Linked DNA regions of Macaca fascicularis. The protein of the gene in region 3 purifies or fractionates together with the protein of the main gene of each other region. This does not show direct contact. Links are inferred from orthologs where the notes say so. Each region holds a gene or a part of one and is shown on either strand. Other genes may lie near its edges.

Region 1 (5,092 bases), on a different chromosome or scaffold from region 3:
CCCTTTTTCTTTTTAAAGAAAAAGTTGATAGTTTCCCAGGCTAAGAGAACCTTACAGTGGCACCTGAATAGTGTGAACTCACTCTAATCTGCTAAATCTTCTTTGGAACTATGGAAATCCCCACCTTAAGTAGCTAGGCTGCTGTTCTTTTTTTAATTGGAATATGAAACAATGGTCTTAATCACAGCTGAAATGTCTCTTTTCTGTATTAACAGTCTGGGATACGCAGTTGAAGGAAGACGACAAACTAAATGCAAGCAACAGATGTGTGGTATTAAAAGAGGAACAGAGAGGAAAAATGCAGAGAAAAGGGAGGAACAGTTCATGGAATACAATTCTAAATTTAGGTGCAAAAGCAACTCTGTAATATGAGGCTTCTTTACAAAACAGCTTGCCGATCATACTAGAAAATTTGGAGGAACACACACGTTTCCATTTCCATTTATCCACTAAAAGCTGCTTTGCCAGTTTTTAGAATGTCAGAATGCTAACTGGGCAGTTTAAACCTTGGGGATCTTATTTTGTATTTGTTTCAGCACTAGAGAAAAATCTCTAAGGTACAGTTTTTCTTAGGATATCACTTTCATTCTGACTGTTCTCCTCCCACTACCCCACCACCCAAATTTATGAAAAACGGAAGCAGGACATGCTACACCTGTGCATGGACCTGGAGCATGGAGGGAAAAGGAGGGCCTTACGGGGCTGTCACCCTGGGGAGGATATAACATGAACCATAAAAACATAGTGAATGTCTTTGACACCAATCTGTAAATGCGTGGCAGTCATGAAGTAATCAATGGCCTGCCACTGATGTTATTATTCTGCCACACTAAATACAGTAAGGCTCATTGTACTTTTAGAACACAAAAAGTTTCCGAAAGTATAAAAACTTAAAGCATTGTCCTCATGTATTGATAAAAACAAAATGAACAACTTTCTTACATTAAAATTAAGTGCTGAAAAGATACAAATGAGTAGAGTTATTGAGCAAATAAAAACAGGTCTGAGCTACTCCTTTTCAACCCAATAAGGCTCAGCAAAGTTGTATCTTTCAGATTACCAGCATCAGGGGACATGAGCTCAGCTAACGAGTTTTGGCAACACTGTCCTCTGCTGAATATTCCCGTTGGCATCTGTCATCTGCGCCAAATTAGTCCTCAGTTTGGAAGCTGAGCTGGAAGGTGGAGGTAACTTGGATATAGATGTGATAGCACCGGTGCTCTCAGTTATCCTTTTCACTGACGTTTTCTCCCCGGTGGGAGGCTTTGGCAATCGCCTCCTCAGCCAGGGGTGCCGCAAAGCCTGGCCTGGGGTCATGCGCACTGCAGGATCCCACTCTAAACACTGTTTTAAGAAGTCAAGGAAAAGGGGATCGTCACACCCCTTCAGCGCGTTCCCCCACTCTCTGCTCTCCGGTGGGCCCCTCAGTTTCCCCCTCCGGGAACGGCCTCCGTTGAGGACCACAGAGCCATCTGAGAGAGTCGTGACAGTGCAGTAACGGGGGTAACCCTTGGAGCTCACAAAATTTTTGGCTCGTTTGGACGCATCCAGCAGTTTCTGCGAGGGCATGCCCAACAGTTCAATCATACAGGCCAGCTGGTCCCCTTCATCCTCCCCAGGCAAGAGGGGGTAACCCGTCAGGAGCTCAGCTAAAATGCAGCCCAGGCTCCACATGTCAATGGGCATGCCATACCTGGCCCCAAGGATCACTTCTGGAGCCCGGTAAAAACGCGACTGGATGTACGTGTAGACACGCTGATGCTCGTAACAACTGGAGCCAAAATCAATCACTTTAATACCACTTCTACCCTGCTGCTTTAACAAAATGTTCTCGGGCTTAAGGTCACAGTGAATTATTCTGTTTTTGTGCAAAGCATCCAAGCACTGCAGAATCGAGTGGGCAAACTTGCGAACCAAAGGCAGGCTGAAGCCCTGGAATTTATTCTTCTTGATGAGCTCATAGAGGTTCATGCTCAGCAGCTCAAACGTCATGCAGATGTGGTTGCGGAAGGTGAAATTCTCCAGCATATGGATGACATTCATTGTGTTATCCTTGTCCTGCTTCCGCAGGTGTTCCAGGATTCGGATCTCCTCTGCTGCTTGCCTGTGGAAGCGCTTCTCATTCCGCACCATCTTTAGGGCCACGTGCTGGTGGACTTTGTGATCGTAGGCCTTGACCACCTGCCCAAAGCTCCCCTTCCCAATGACCTTGAGGACCTCGTACCTGTAAGCCACGTGATCATGGGGCACCTGCACATATGATCCCTGGTCATCATCATAGCCACCATTGTTGGGCCCACCTGTCATGCCCTGGCGCTTCTTAGCATTTAGACCCAAGAAATATATTTCAGGGTAGCTGAAAATCTCATGGTGTTCAAAGGCTGTGAGTTTTTGCATGTATTGCTTCATTGCTTGTTCAGGTGTCATGGGGGTGGCTTTCACCTTCCCCATGCCTTCCATGGACTTCAGAGACGTGGAGCTCCCCTGCCGTCTATGAATGCTGTCCAGCTGCCGCTCTGGCACCACTGGCAAGCCCGTTTTGCCCACTGTTGTAAGCCCATTTGGTTGTGTCGTGAGCACTGTCCGCTTGTTACTGTTATCCTCAAACAGCTGTTGAACCTGGATCTGTCCATGAGGGTGGCTGCCAACATGCAGGTGATCATTCATTGTGTGCTTACTGCCGCCAATCTGGAATTCAGACAGGAAATATAAATAGAAAAGAAGTGGTGTCTGTTCACACGGGGTATAATTAACCCCCATCAGCAACCACCCCCTCCACCCTACCTTTACAAAATCCCACTTGGATTGAGTAAAGGCCACAAAACATGTGATCCTGAAAAAAGGACCTCATAAATGCCATGCCTAACAGAGAAGATGGTTTGCTGTACATATTCAGGGTTCCCCACGGAGGCAGAGACCATAACTTTATCATTCTATATCTGACACTTAGTATAGGGCCTGGCACATCATAGATGTTCCACTCAATCCACACTTGATATAAAAATGAAACAGGATACAGAAAAAACATGCACACATAAGACTCTATGTTGGCTCCTCCACCCCCAGATTACAGCACCTTTCATATTTCATCTAGTAGTTTATTAACATGAGGACAGGGACCATGTCTGTCTTGTTCACTACTCTTCCCCTAATACCTAGAGCTCTATCCTGAAAACACTTCATCACCAGGACTTCCCCTTTCCTTGAAAATCTGATGAAACCTAAGTGCACACATGATCCAGTGACAAAAACAAAAACCCTGTGTTTTAGGCTTGAAAGATTCCCATGTAGATATGCGCCACAGTGTCTTATAAACCCCGAACCTATTTTTAAAAGTTCCCAGGCTTTACTAACTGTAATAACCATTTAAGGCATTCAGCCCAACAAACCAAGCAACAACCACACTGTTTGGCCTTCCTCCAGAGGGGTCAGGGGCTCAGCTCTCTGAAGATGTCCATTTCTACGACCTGCTGGGATACTCGAGGTTTCCAAACAGGAATCCAAAGCAGCAACCTCTTGTTTCAGGTACGCATGCCATCCCTGAGCATTCCTGTCTAAACTCTACCAATGGTGTGAGCCAAGGGGCCCCAGCCCTCTACTGACAATCTTCTTGGGATTTCCTTTAAGCATTATGACTGCTGAGAGGTAATGGGTAGGAGAGGACTGGCAGCCAGGATCCTCTCCCAGTTAGGAATTCCTGCCTTGGACAACCCCAAGTCTTAAAGCAGCCTGGGAGGTGATTTTTGTATGAAATCTTACATCAACTTGTCATCACAATCCACCTCATTCATTCAACTGGTGTTAACAGAAGGCTGGCTGCCAAAGTGACAGAGTCCCTGCCCTCCAGGAGCTTACAACTAACTAGATGAAGTCTGTTGCCATCAGTATTTTTTCTATTATCTCTTTTAAATCCTACTTTTAGGGCTTTACCTACTACTGAAAGAGCAGAAGGGCTGTGTATATGTAACATAGTAATTCAAAAATGATTTGGGAACACCTGGATTATAAAATGAAATTCTAACTCCTTCTTACTAACAGACTAAGATGTTCACATTTTCTTTATTGGATACATAATATGCACAATGACTGTGTGGAGAGTGAGCTTCCTCTCTGCCCACTTCTAACTAAAACAAAACAGAAGACAATACTTGGGGCCTGTCTGACTGTGACTTCATATAGGCTCAGGGATATCATTTCTCAGACTTATAACTGAGCTTTTTTATTAAACTCATAGATGATACTCCGTGCTAGCTGATCTTATATTCAGTAAGAGTAGCTAGAAAGGTTATTTTACCCTTGTTCTATGTCAAAAGCAGGGCAGTCCATAAAAATGAATCAGGCAAGTCTCGGGCATATATACAAGAGGTACAGGCTTGTCCAATGCTTTTCTTCCCCAGCCTCGCTCTCTGCACCCTCTCCTGTCCACTGTGGTCTTTCAAACACTAGGGAATAAAGGGGCCTGAATCAAAATATCTCTCTCCTAAAGAACCATTATCTTCAGAGTGGAGTGGTGATATTTCAGAAGAAAAATCCACATTACCTGTATACATGCTATTAAAAAGCACAAAGCTGCTTCATTAGGACAAAATTAACCTTGGGGCTTTAGAGATTTCTAAAAACACAGCAAAGTAAAACCAAGCCTCCAAAATTTACTTTAAGCAATTTCTGTGTTTCGCATAATTTAATACATGCTCACAAATGTTTTAGTAACTAAAACTAATGAGACTGCCAAGAAACGACCATCTTCTATATCTCCAAATGCCTTCTCTTGGTCTCCTTTGCAGCATCAACTACTGGTTCACCTAACCTTAGGTGGGTTCAAGAGTTCCCCAGGGTTCAAGCCTCGATTCTCGTGGCTTCTTACTCCCATAAGCCCCTGCAACTGATCCTGAACACAGCCAGGGCTTCAGCAACTGCCCATGGCCTGAGGTTTGCACATTTGTTCCTTGAACTCAGACCTGCCAAGGTGCTATCTCCTGAGTGCAAGACACACATATCCAACTATCAATCAGCTCCCTCTCCCATAAGCAACTCAAACTTAACTCATTATTTTTCTACCAAACTGGTTTCCCACTCCCATAATCCTCCATTT
Region 2 (5,092 bases), on a different chromosome or scaffold from region 3:
TTTTATATACATATAAAATATGTATCCCCAAAAAACATTTCTTTTAAACTTAAGGACATTCTTGACTATGATAACTCCATGTGCCAGGTGAGAAATGGTGGTCAAATTTGTTTCACTAGGGGCAACAGCTAATTTGCAGACCCAGAGAAATGACTTCCTGTCTACACAGATGAAACCACAAGGCCTCCATTGTGTGACATAGCCACACGATTATACTGTGGCACTGGGAAAACCCAGAAAATTTTAAATGAATTTACTTCAGGGAGGGAAATGTTTTTGTAAAACTCTATTCCGTTTAAAGAGCACAGAGAATGATTTTCCACCCTTCCCATTCCAACCCCCTACATATTATAAACACGGTAACTACGTACCTGCAACTGATTATATATATCACGTGTTTTGATTAATGGGAAACCCCTAAAGAGATATTGATAAATTAAGTTATATTTTGATGTAAATACACCACCAGTTAACACTAGGTAATAACACTTGCTAGTATTATGTAGACTATCCATACATAACTGTGCATAGAAATAAATCACCTCCAGATAAGGGCCTGGAAAACTCTGCTATGGAGAAAATTAAACAATTTAGCAGAATGGCTTTGGGATAAGTCTCTGAAGATGCATGTAGTTCTTATGTTCAGGATGGTTCAGATTTCCAATTTAACTTCTTTAACTGGTGATATTAATTGTTCTCTAATTCACAACTCCTTGTGACCAAGATGGGACTTGAAATGAGTAAGTATCTCAAGAAGACATGAAACTGCAGTTATTAAATGTAAGTGTAAAGACCAGGGCCTCAGCACTACAGTTTATGCAATAATAATTCACATTACAGTTGTAAAATAAGTATAGTCATCAGTTGCCTAATAAAGATTATACATATTCAATTTAATCTGAGCAACTGAACAGATATTTCACATAGCACCTATTTCCAGTCCTATTTAAAATCAGTTCTCTGTCTTCTTAAGCAATTGTTAATCTCCAATTTCTTGAATACTAAAAGTCATTTGAAAACAATTTATAGTAATCTAATTCATTTATTAAGCATAAAATTATAGTACAACATTTTAAAAACATTCTTCTGACAAAAATTACTATGAATAGCTACCCCCTAGGTAACTGGCTAAAACTAGTTATATCTGGTTTGATTCACTAAATATGATTCACTAAAATGAGTTAGGCCAGTTGGCTGAGTTAGATTAAGTCTAATCAACACTCTCCTATGCTTTACAATGCCCTTTCCCCAATCTTAAATATCCAAATTCCTACTTCTGTCCTATAGGACTTGGTTTAACTGCACATGCTTTAAATGAAACCTTTCCTCACCTGCACAACTGGAGATAATTTCAGTTTCCTCTGGACTCCCACAAGGATACAGCTTGCTGTGACACTTAATAACTTGAAACCCTACTTAAGATTATTTTTTGTTTTTCTTCCTTAAAGGATTCATGAGGCAGAAGCCACATGAGTCATTTTTACCCTATAGACATAAGCAGAGAACTCTCACATAATAGAAGCTCCAAAATAAAGAATTTTGAATCCCATTTTTATCCTAAAAGATAGAAAATAAAAATACCCTACCTGTGCCTTTTTGCACGTTCTGCAGTACGCCATGGCAAGAAACCAGACACACCAGGTGGTAGAGGTGCGGGCGCATATTCTTTACCAAGGGAGTGTTTTCTGCCACTACTTACAGGTTTCTTTGTAGCCAATCCTACTTGAGAAAGTGTTAAAAAGAAAGAATTAAGATGCACTAAAGGTCTACAGATTAATTAGCACATGTGCATACTCTTAAAAGAATACCAATGGGCACCTGACAATGACACCAAGGCCATTAAATCAGGATCAATTTGTAAATATCTTTTTACATAGGCCACTAATAAATATAAGAATAAATATATTTTAATATATTTAAATATAAGTTAAAAATGTAATAAATATATAAAAATTAAAAATATAAGTTGTCTAGAGTAACAAGTTATCACTTTAACTAAAATATAACTTTAATATATGAGACATGCAGAGCATGAAAAAGTAAATAAAACATGTAACCCAAAGAATGAAAGATTATATGTGATACATTTCATTATGCATTATGCAGAAATATTGTTATTAAATCTCAGAATATTTTTGGCATTCCTGAATCTCAAGGACAGAACATAGATATACCCATGACTCCTACCAAACAGAACCTTCTGAATTGGACCAAAATTTCAATGTGAGATTAATTTTATCATGGAAAAATTATCCAAGTTATAAGAGTGAAGGTAGCTGGACTAATTTTATAATGTAAAAACTATCCAAGTTGTAAGACTGAAGGTAGCTGGGTAGTAGGTGAGTCAATGTTGCCGCCTGTATGTCTGTCCACCTTCAGTGTTCATTTGCTTTTATAGAATACAAAACAAACACATGAAACCTATTGGATAAAAGAATGAAGCATAAAGTCTTATCCTACATTTCAGTATTAAAGAGTCAAGTATCTTTTTATGAAACATTTGGTAGCAAAAGCTAGACCTATTAATATTTTATTTAAAACAAATTATATATTAAAATTCACATTTAAATATATGTTTCTGATATCGCTGAGAACAAATAATACAAGTTTATTAAAATGGTTATATTTATCCTTCCAATCTATTTTACTATGTAAGATCTACTTTAGCAGCTTTAGGACAGCATCTACAAGAACGTGTATGTGGTAATACAGGACAAATATTTCCCATAGTGTAGCTTATTGATAATCACCACATCATGTTGTGCCATTTCTCTGGACAAATTTATATACCTCTTAAAATATATAGGAGCTCAGTTCATTGTATGCTGTTATTAATATAATTATCCCAAAAAAATGTTCCTGTGTATTGTTTGTGGTGTGTGTAGAAAGTAATGCAAATATAATTTTTTTTTTTTTTGGAGGAGTCTCACTCTGTCGCCCAGGCTAGAGTGTAGTGGCACAATCTTGGCTCACTGCAACCTCCACCTCCCAGGTTCAAGCAGTTCTTCTGCCTCAGCCTCCCGAGAAGCTGGGATTACAGATGCACACCGCCACACTCAGCTAATTTTTTGTATTTTAGTGAAGTTGCCCAGGCTGGTCTCCAACTCCTGAGTTTAGGCAATCCACCCGCCTCGGCCTCCTAAAGTGCTGGGATTACAGGCGTGAGCCACCGTGCCCAGCCACAAACAGAAATTTTAGTTAAAACCAAACTAATTTACTTATCTTGTTAGATGATGAAAAAAATTATAGTGGAAGTTTCCTATCTTCTGTCTGCACACGTAATTGCAATATGAATGTAACATAATTTACATAAATTATATAACCCCTATACTCACTGACACCTATTAAATATATAGCCAGACACTGATTTGGCTTACCTCTGTGTCTCCAAATAACTGAGGCAAATACAAAAAAAGCCCAAGAAATAAAGTTACTCTTAAAATAGCTCAGTGAGCTTGTAAACTTCAGTTACATTTCCAATTTCTTTAATCATGCTAAGAAAAAAGATTTTTTGAATTCTCATTCAATGATGTCCAATTATATACCACTAGCTACTAAAATTATAGTATTTCCAATGTTTTATATTTTATGTTAAATTGTTTTATATCTTAGCCATTTTTAAGCATACAGTTAGTTCAGTGATATTGTCAAGTGATAGCTTTTAAAAATTTCAAGTAGCATCCAAATAAAAGATTATCTGGTATTAATTGTTTGGTGATCGTAATGTACAGGGTATGTAACTAAAGTCACCACAAACCTTTTTCTGGGAAACTGGCAGATTATAAACATAAAAAAATTATTTTGTTTCCTCTGTATTAGTCTTCATGGTTTTACTGTTTCAAAATTCAAAGTTACTTACAAGAAAAGGTCACTTTCATATTAGATTTGGCTTAACTTATTCCACTATCACTCATTCTTATCAGTAAAAAAAGGCTACTTATGACTAAAGATAATGTGTTCTAGAAAATAAAAGTTAAAGACTCTTTAAAAACAAAACGAAAATATCAGTAGAACTAGATTATACCAAATTTATATATTCAGGAGAATGTGAAATTTATGTCATTAGTTGATAAAGAGTTTATAAAGTTTTCTTTCATTACTCTTTGTCACAAAATTATAGACAATTTCAAAATTCTAGACTGTTATTTGGCAGATTAAATAAACTATAAATAGCAAACATTTACGGAATGTTTGTCTAAAATGTTCCATCTCTGGGTAATAAACTTACCTGCAGTATTGTTTTATAAGGATTACATACGATTTAAGGTTTTTTCATCATTGAAAGAAGCAAGGTGCTACCTGATTCAACAACTTTGGGTAAGAATTTGCAAGGAAGGAGGAGGAAACAAAGGGAAAAAAGGGAACTGGGAAGAGATTTTGTTTTCTATAGTATGAAAGGATAATTTTTCATTAACAACAACAACAAAATCATACAAACGCACTGCTGCTAAAACTGTCATCAAAGTGCATCCCAAATTTCAACTGCAAAGTATCAGAAGTAATCATCAATCAGAAAACATATCTAAAATCATCAATGTTGTATGAAAAACAAATAAGGGTAATTTTTAAAATGGAAGCACTAGCATCCCTTTCCTAATGATTCATTTACTATTTCTACATTCCATAAATTCTCATAATCAGAATAATTATAGTCCTAATAATATGCACAGAGTCAAAATTGGTTGTTACCGTCAATATCATAAATGAGAAGAGATTTTGATTTTAACACACTAGAACACTAGTAGCATTAAAAAGCCAAGACCAAAAAGGTTACCAATTCTAATAGTAGCTTTTCCTTTGTGACCACTTCCTAGAATTATAGTTCTCTTTTTCTGTTTAGCAGTTTTGGATGGTTCCTTCACTGATGGAGAAGTTATCCACTGGTACTAAAAGAGAGAGAATAAACACTACATTTCAGTTACAGATCATTTATGAGGGTTAGATCTTAAATGGAAATTGTTAAGATATTCTAAGTTAATAAAAGGTTTGCAATCAGCAGTTCTGGGACCCAAAATTAAAGAATCGTATGGTATTTACAAAAACAGAAAAGACATTTGATTTGACTGTAAATTTAAGATGGCAGAAAAGTGCC
Region 3 (5,092 bases):
CCACCTCTCACATCTTTCAGGTATTTGCTAAGACCCTTTGTTTTTATTGTTCAGTACAGTGTTAAAAATGTATATCCATGTTTAGTTACTATTTATAGACTTGCTGTTAGCAGTTCAGCTAAGGGGAAACTGAATAATTAGAAAGAGTTGAACTCTCTAGATTTGTGATTCACACTTATCTGTGCTCCTTTTCCAAGTCTGTAATTCTCTTACAAGAGGTAGGTTCTTTATTTATCTAATAAAAATTTGTTAGTATATACTGTGGCTCAGTATGATTTGTTGACTCTGTTTTTTGGTTACATGGCATAATAATTTTTTTGCTTAGATTGGAGTTAAAACCTAGTTTGAAAATAAGATACATTGTATATACATTGTCTAACAACCACATAAGGCAGGGGAGAATTGTGGACTTGGGTGGCCCAAGCTTCCTAGAAGCAGTATGGATTGAATTGAGGTGGTTAGAATGTGCAGAAACAGACTGGAGAGAGTTAGAGGTAAGGAGGCCAGTTAGAAAGGTGTTTGTCATTATTAATAGTTTCAGTTAGTTGGGGGAAAGATGCTGAGGCAGAATGTTGACTTTGGGGATAGAAAGGACATGGTGGAAAGGAAGAGAGACTTAAGATGGACTTGATTACTTTGATGGAACAGGAGGAAGAAAAATTAAAATCTGCTCTAAGTCAGGGCATTAGGGAAAGAGATGGTACTATTGAAAAAAAATCAGAATTGTCATTGTGGTGAAGAAGCCATATTAAGTTTTAGCCATGCTGAGTTTGAATTGAGCATCATCGACGTGGACATATTTATTTAACAAATGGAAATTCTGGTTCATGGTGCAAGTTTGAAGTAGAGGTGAATCTGGGAGTCACCTAAATGGAGATGGACATTGGACTTTAAGGAGAGGAGATAAAATGAAAGATGAAGGTAAGACATAGCCCAGGGATTTATCCGTATGTAGAAGACAGAAGGAATAAGGGAGGAAAAATAATAAGTTCTGTGGGGAACAAGTAGCTATGGAAAAGTTCTCTGTTAGGATGCAGTTTGAAGAAGTTAAGACCTCAGAATATTAAAAAAAATAAATAAAGTAAGTTACTACCATTGAACGAAAAACATCAGTCTTTGAAATTGGCTAAAGTATTTCCTCCCCGCCCCGCCCCTTCCCTTAAACTTCTTACAGGCCACAGTGTAGCTTTATGGGAATGGTTATTTCCCATGATATGCTGCTAGGACGTTGGCGCCTTTCTTTAGAACTGTTCGGCAGGGTATTCATGGAAGATGTTGGAGCAGAACCTGGATCAGTATGTATTTTGTGCACTTTAAATTCCATTCTGCCTGATGAGCACATATTTCAGGGAATAATCTGTCATGCTTTTTTTTTTTTTTTTTTTTTTTTTTTAAGATCCTGACTGAATTGGGTGGTTTTGAGGTAAAAGAATCAAAATTCCGTAGAGAAATGGAAAAACTGAGAAACCAGCAGTCAAGAGATTTATCACTAGAGGTAAAGGTATTTAGATTTTCTTATACTATACCTGTAGCATGCTATTTATATAAATTTTAAAACATACAAAATAACAGTAGCTTTACTTAGGTATATGTACTTATAATTAAAAAATTAAAGAAAATAAAAGACATGTTAAACTGCCAAATTTATTTTTTATTTGTGTGTGTGTGTGTGTGTGGTTTCTTTTTATTTTTTTCTTATTGTAACCATCAAATTTAGAATAGTGGTTTTCTCTGGCAGTTTGGTTCCCTAGCATCCTCTATGAATTTTTTTGTTTTAGTTTTTAAGTATCATTATGCATGCCTTGATTTAAAGATTTTTTTATGTATTTAATTCCATTGAGATTATTATTCATATTGATGCTCAAATTGTGTCTTCTTTGGCTAATGGGAGTCTTGAGTCAATTTTGATTCCTCAGTCCTTTTGGCATTGGCCCAGTAATTTTTGATAACTTTCTTACTTCCTGGTATGTTTCATCTTGTGCATTTCCTGTCGCAGACCTTAAATCAGCCATTTCTTAAAGTAGCCTTGATTCCTTTTAGTAGGAAATTGTGTTTTGAGATTACAGTCTGTGCTCTAAGATTGCAAATTGCTACTGGGTTGATCATGGTTTCTAGGCCTTTTTAATTGATAACAGTTTGGCAGTGCATTTTATTTTGTTCTTTTTTTAAAAAAATAAAATAATGAATTAATATTGATACTCCCAATTCAAATTCAAGATGTAGGACCACAAGGTTGTTTTTGTTATTTTTGCTTTTTAGATTTTTTTTTTTTTTTTTTTTTTGAGGCGGAGTCTTGCTTTGTCACCCAGGCCAGAGCACAGTGGCATGATCTTGGCTCACTGCAACCTCCACCTCTTGGGTTCAGGAGACTCTCCTGCTTCAGCCTCCTGAGTAGCTGGGATTACAGGTGTCTGCAACCATGCCTGGCTAATTTTTGTATTTTTAATAGAGACAGGGTTTCACCATGTTGGCCAGGCTGGTCTCAAACTCCCGACCTCAGGTGATCCACCTGCCCTGGCCTCCCAAAGTGCTGGGATTAGAGGTGTGAGCCACCACACCTGGCCTTGCTTCTTAGATCTTAAGTCTTTATCTCCTTTCTTTCAGACTGAATATCCAACTTCCCAACAACATTAATCAAATTACTCATTTGTTTTAATGCCACAACATACACAGTAGCAGTCAGAATTACATCACTGGAATCTGAGGTGGAAGGATGGCTTGAGTCCAGGAATTCGAGGACAGCCTGGGCAACATAATGTGAGAGACTCTGTCTCTTAAAAAGAATTATAACATCAACACTACCACTAACAAAATGATTATTCAAAATAATTAAAGATTTATTTGCAGATGTTTGTACTTAGATCATATACAGTTAGAGATAACACAGTTAAAGGAGGTTTATTTTAAAGTCACTTGAAGTAATTTCTCTTTGTAGGTTTTGCTACCAGCTCTATATGATTAGGACCTTTTGTTTCATTTTGCTTTCAGATTTTAGGGATTCCTTTTTCCTCTTTTGGTTTTATTTTGTAATCAATGTAAAATATCTACAGTGTGGCAGAGTGAACTCTACAAAAGAATGAATATAAGTCTATTCTTGTCTCTTTTACCCATTTTTTCAAGTTTATTTCCTTCCCTCCCTTTTAAAACATATAAGCATATGTGTGTATTAATTACATACTTCCTCCCACCTCCCCAAACATACTATACATTTTATTCCATCTTGCTTTTCTCAGTTAATAGTATATCCCAGAGAAAATGTGAAATGTTCTACCTTCCTTTTATAGCTGCTTAATATACTGCACTTTTATGGTTGTTATCGCAGTTTTTGCAGCTAATCCCTTACAGGCTAGGTATTCAGGCTTATTTCCAGTCTTTTGCTATTACAGATAGTGTGATGAATGGCCTTGTGTTTTTTTGCTAGTGTGTCCCTGAGATAGATGCTTAGACGTGGAATTGCTGGGTCAAAGAGTATGTGCATGTGATTTTGCTAGACATTGACGGATACTTCTGCATAGCAGTTGCATAATTTTGCATTTTCACCATCAATGTGAGAATGCATGATTTGCCTCAGTCTTGCCAGCATTTGTTAAACTTCTAGATTTTTGCTAATCTGATAGGTAAGAAATAGCACCTCAGTATAGTTTTAATTTGAATTTATCTTATTTTGAGCAAAGTTAAACATTATTTCATATATTTAGGATAGTTGTATTTAACTCAGTTGATGTGCCCATTTTTTTTTCTAAGTTGGCTTTCTCTCAGATTTCAGAGGCTTTTTATGTAGCTACAGGTGATAGACACACTCATTAATGATTATATATATCTTTGTGAGAAAAGATGCAAACAATTTTCCAGTTTGGTTAATTCCCCTCCAGCCTCCCGCCCACTTAGCTTGTCATCAAGGAATTCATCTGTGTTTTTTTCTGTTTTTTTTTTTTTTAACATCTCTGATTATTTGGTATTCTGGTGTATCCCAAAATTGAACAAGATTATTGTTTTCCAATAAACCTTTGAAAGAAAGTGTTAGAATTGAATTAAATTCTGTTGTCCTGATTTAATTTGCAAGACCTTCTTGTGTGCTTTAATGGTTTAAACATTGTATTTCGTAATGGATAAGCTTCTGAGAACTCTGATTACTTTGTAGTTTTTTAAACTCTCAAGGAAAAGCTAAAACTAGATTTTCAGATTGAAAATAGAAAAATTCAAACTACAAAAAATTCTAACTACTTTCCAACATTGAATTTACTACTTCTTGATGTGTTTTAATAGGTTGATCGGGATCGAGATCTTCTCATTCAGCAGACTATGAGGCAGCTTAACAATCACTTTGGTCGAAGATGTGCTACTACACCAATGGCTGTACACAGAGTAAAAGTCACATTTAAGGATGAGCCAGGAGAGGGCAGTGGTGTAGCACGAAGTTTTTATACAGCCATTGCACAAGCATTTTTGTCAAATGAAAAATTGCCAAATCTAGAGTGTATCCAAAATGCCAACAAAGGCACCCACACAAGTAAGTAGTCCACAGATAACAAGCATCATAAAACTTCTTTCCTTGTCCCTCAAACCAACAGTGGTAATCATGGTTTATATATGTGTGAGAGTATAAATTTACGTTTTTACATAATTTTATTCTAGATTGATTTAATGTTATTTAAACTATTCCAATTGACGACAATTTCTTACTTTACGTTTATTTTGATAAATTTATTTTGATAAATGTTTGTGATTGTACTAGTTTTTCATCTCAATTGTTACATGTTGCGGGTGGGTAAGAGGTTGTAAAATACATAGTGCTATAAAAATTCACTGAGCAAATTGCAGCATTTCCTCCACTTCAGTATTTAACCCACATGGATATTTGAGAAGAAAATGCTATTCTAAGAGCAGTGCTGTTCAAATTACGATTTCCAAACTTGTTGCTGTTCCCCAGTGAGAAGAAGATTTTGCAGCCAAGTGTAAATCAACTGTGTCACTAAGCTCACTGTTTAGTAAGACTTACAAAAAAAAAAAGAATCCTGGTGCAAGCTTATTACCTCACTGAGGATCAGCACTTTGGGGTTAGGACTCTTAGCTAAGTTTTAAGATTATAATG

Evidence for each region. The genes of interacting proteins can lie anywhere in the genome.
Region 1: the proteins of UBR5 (region 3) and DYRK2 purify together in Homo sapiens (affinity purification with western blotting; 3 studies listed by BioGRID and IntAct, with this or other methods). This does not show direct contact. The link is inferred for Macaca fascicularis from reciprocal best matches to the Homo sapiens genes UBR5 and DYRK2.
Region 2: the proteins of UBR5 (region 3) and CEP78 purify together in Homo sapiens (affinity purification with western blotting; 3 studies listed by BioGRID, with this or other methods). This does not show direct contact. The link is inferred for Macaca fascicularis from reciprocal best matches to the Homo sapiens genes UBR5 and CEP78.

The regions. Positions count from the first base shown.
Region 1 is NC_088385.1:74,412,196-74,417,287, reverse strand, and holds part of DYRK2 (dual specificity tyrosine-phosphorylation-regulated kinase 2), read right to left. Parts: intron 2,689-5,092; coding exon 1,081-2,688; 3' UTR 1-1,080. UniProt on the Homo sapiens protein: Serine/threonine-protein kinase involved in the regulation of the mitotic cell cycle, cell proliferation, apoptosis, organization of the cytoskeleton and neurite outgrowth. Functions in part via its role in ubiquitin-dependent proteasomal protein degradation.
Region 2 is NC_088389.1:108,872,223-108,877,314, reverse strand, and holds part of CEP78 (centrosomal protein of 78 kDa), read right to left. Parts: intron 4,887-5,092; coding exon 4,775-4,886; intron 3,396-4,774; coding exon of another isoform or gene 3,244-3,395; exon of another isoform or gene 2,904-3,243; intron 1,723-2,903; coding exon 1,587-1,722; intron 418-1,586; coding exon 372-417; intron 1-371. UniProt on the Homo sapiens protein: Centriole wall protein that localizes to mature centrioles and regulates centriole and cilia biogenesis. Involved in centrosome duplication: required for efficient PLK4 centrosomal localization and PLK4-induced overduplication of centrioles.
Region 3 is NC_088382.1:111,883,981-111,889,072, reverse strand, and holds part of UBR5 (E3 ubiquitin-protein ligase UBR5), read left to right. Parts: coding exon 1-20; intron 21-1,174; coding exon 1,175-1,295; intron 1,296-1,396; coding exon 1,397-1,501; intron 1,502-4,266; coding exon 4,267-4,510; intron 4,511-5,092. UniProt on the Homo sapiens protein: E3 ubiquitin-protein ligase involved in different protein quality control pathways in the cytoplasm and nucleus. Mainly acts as a ubiquitin chain elongator that extends pre-ubiquitinated substrates.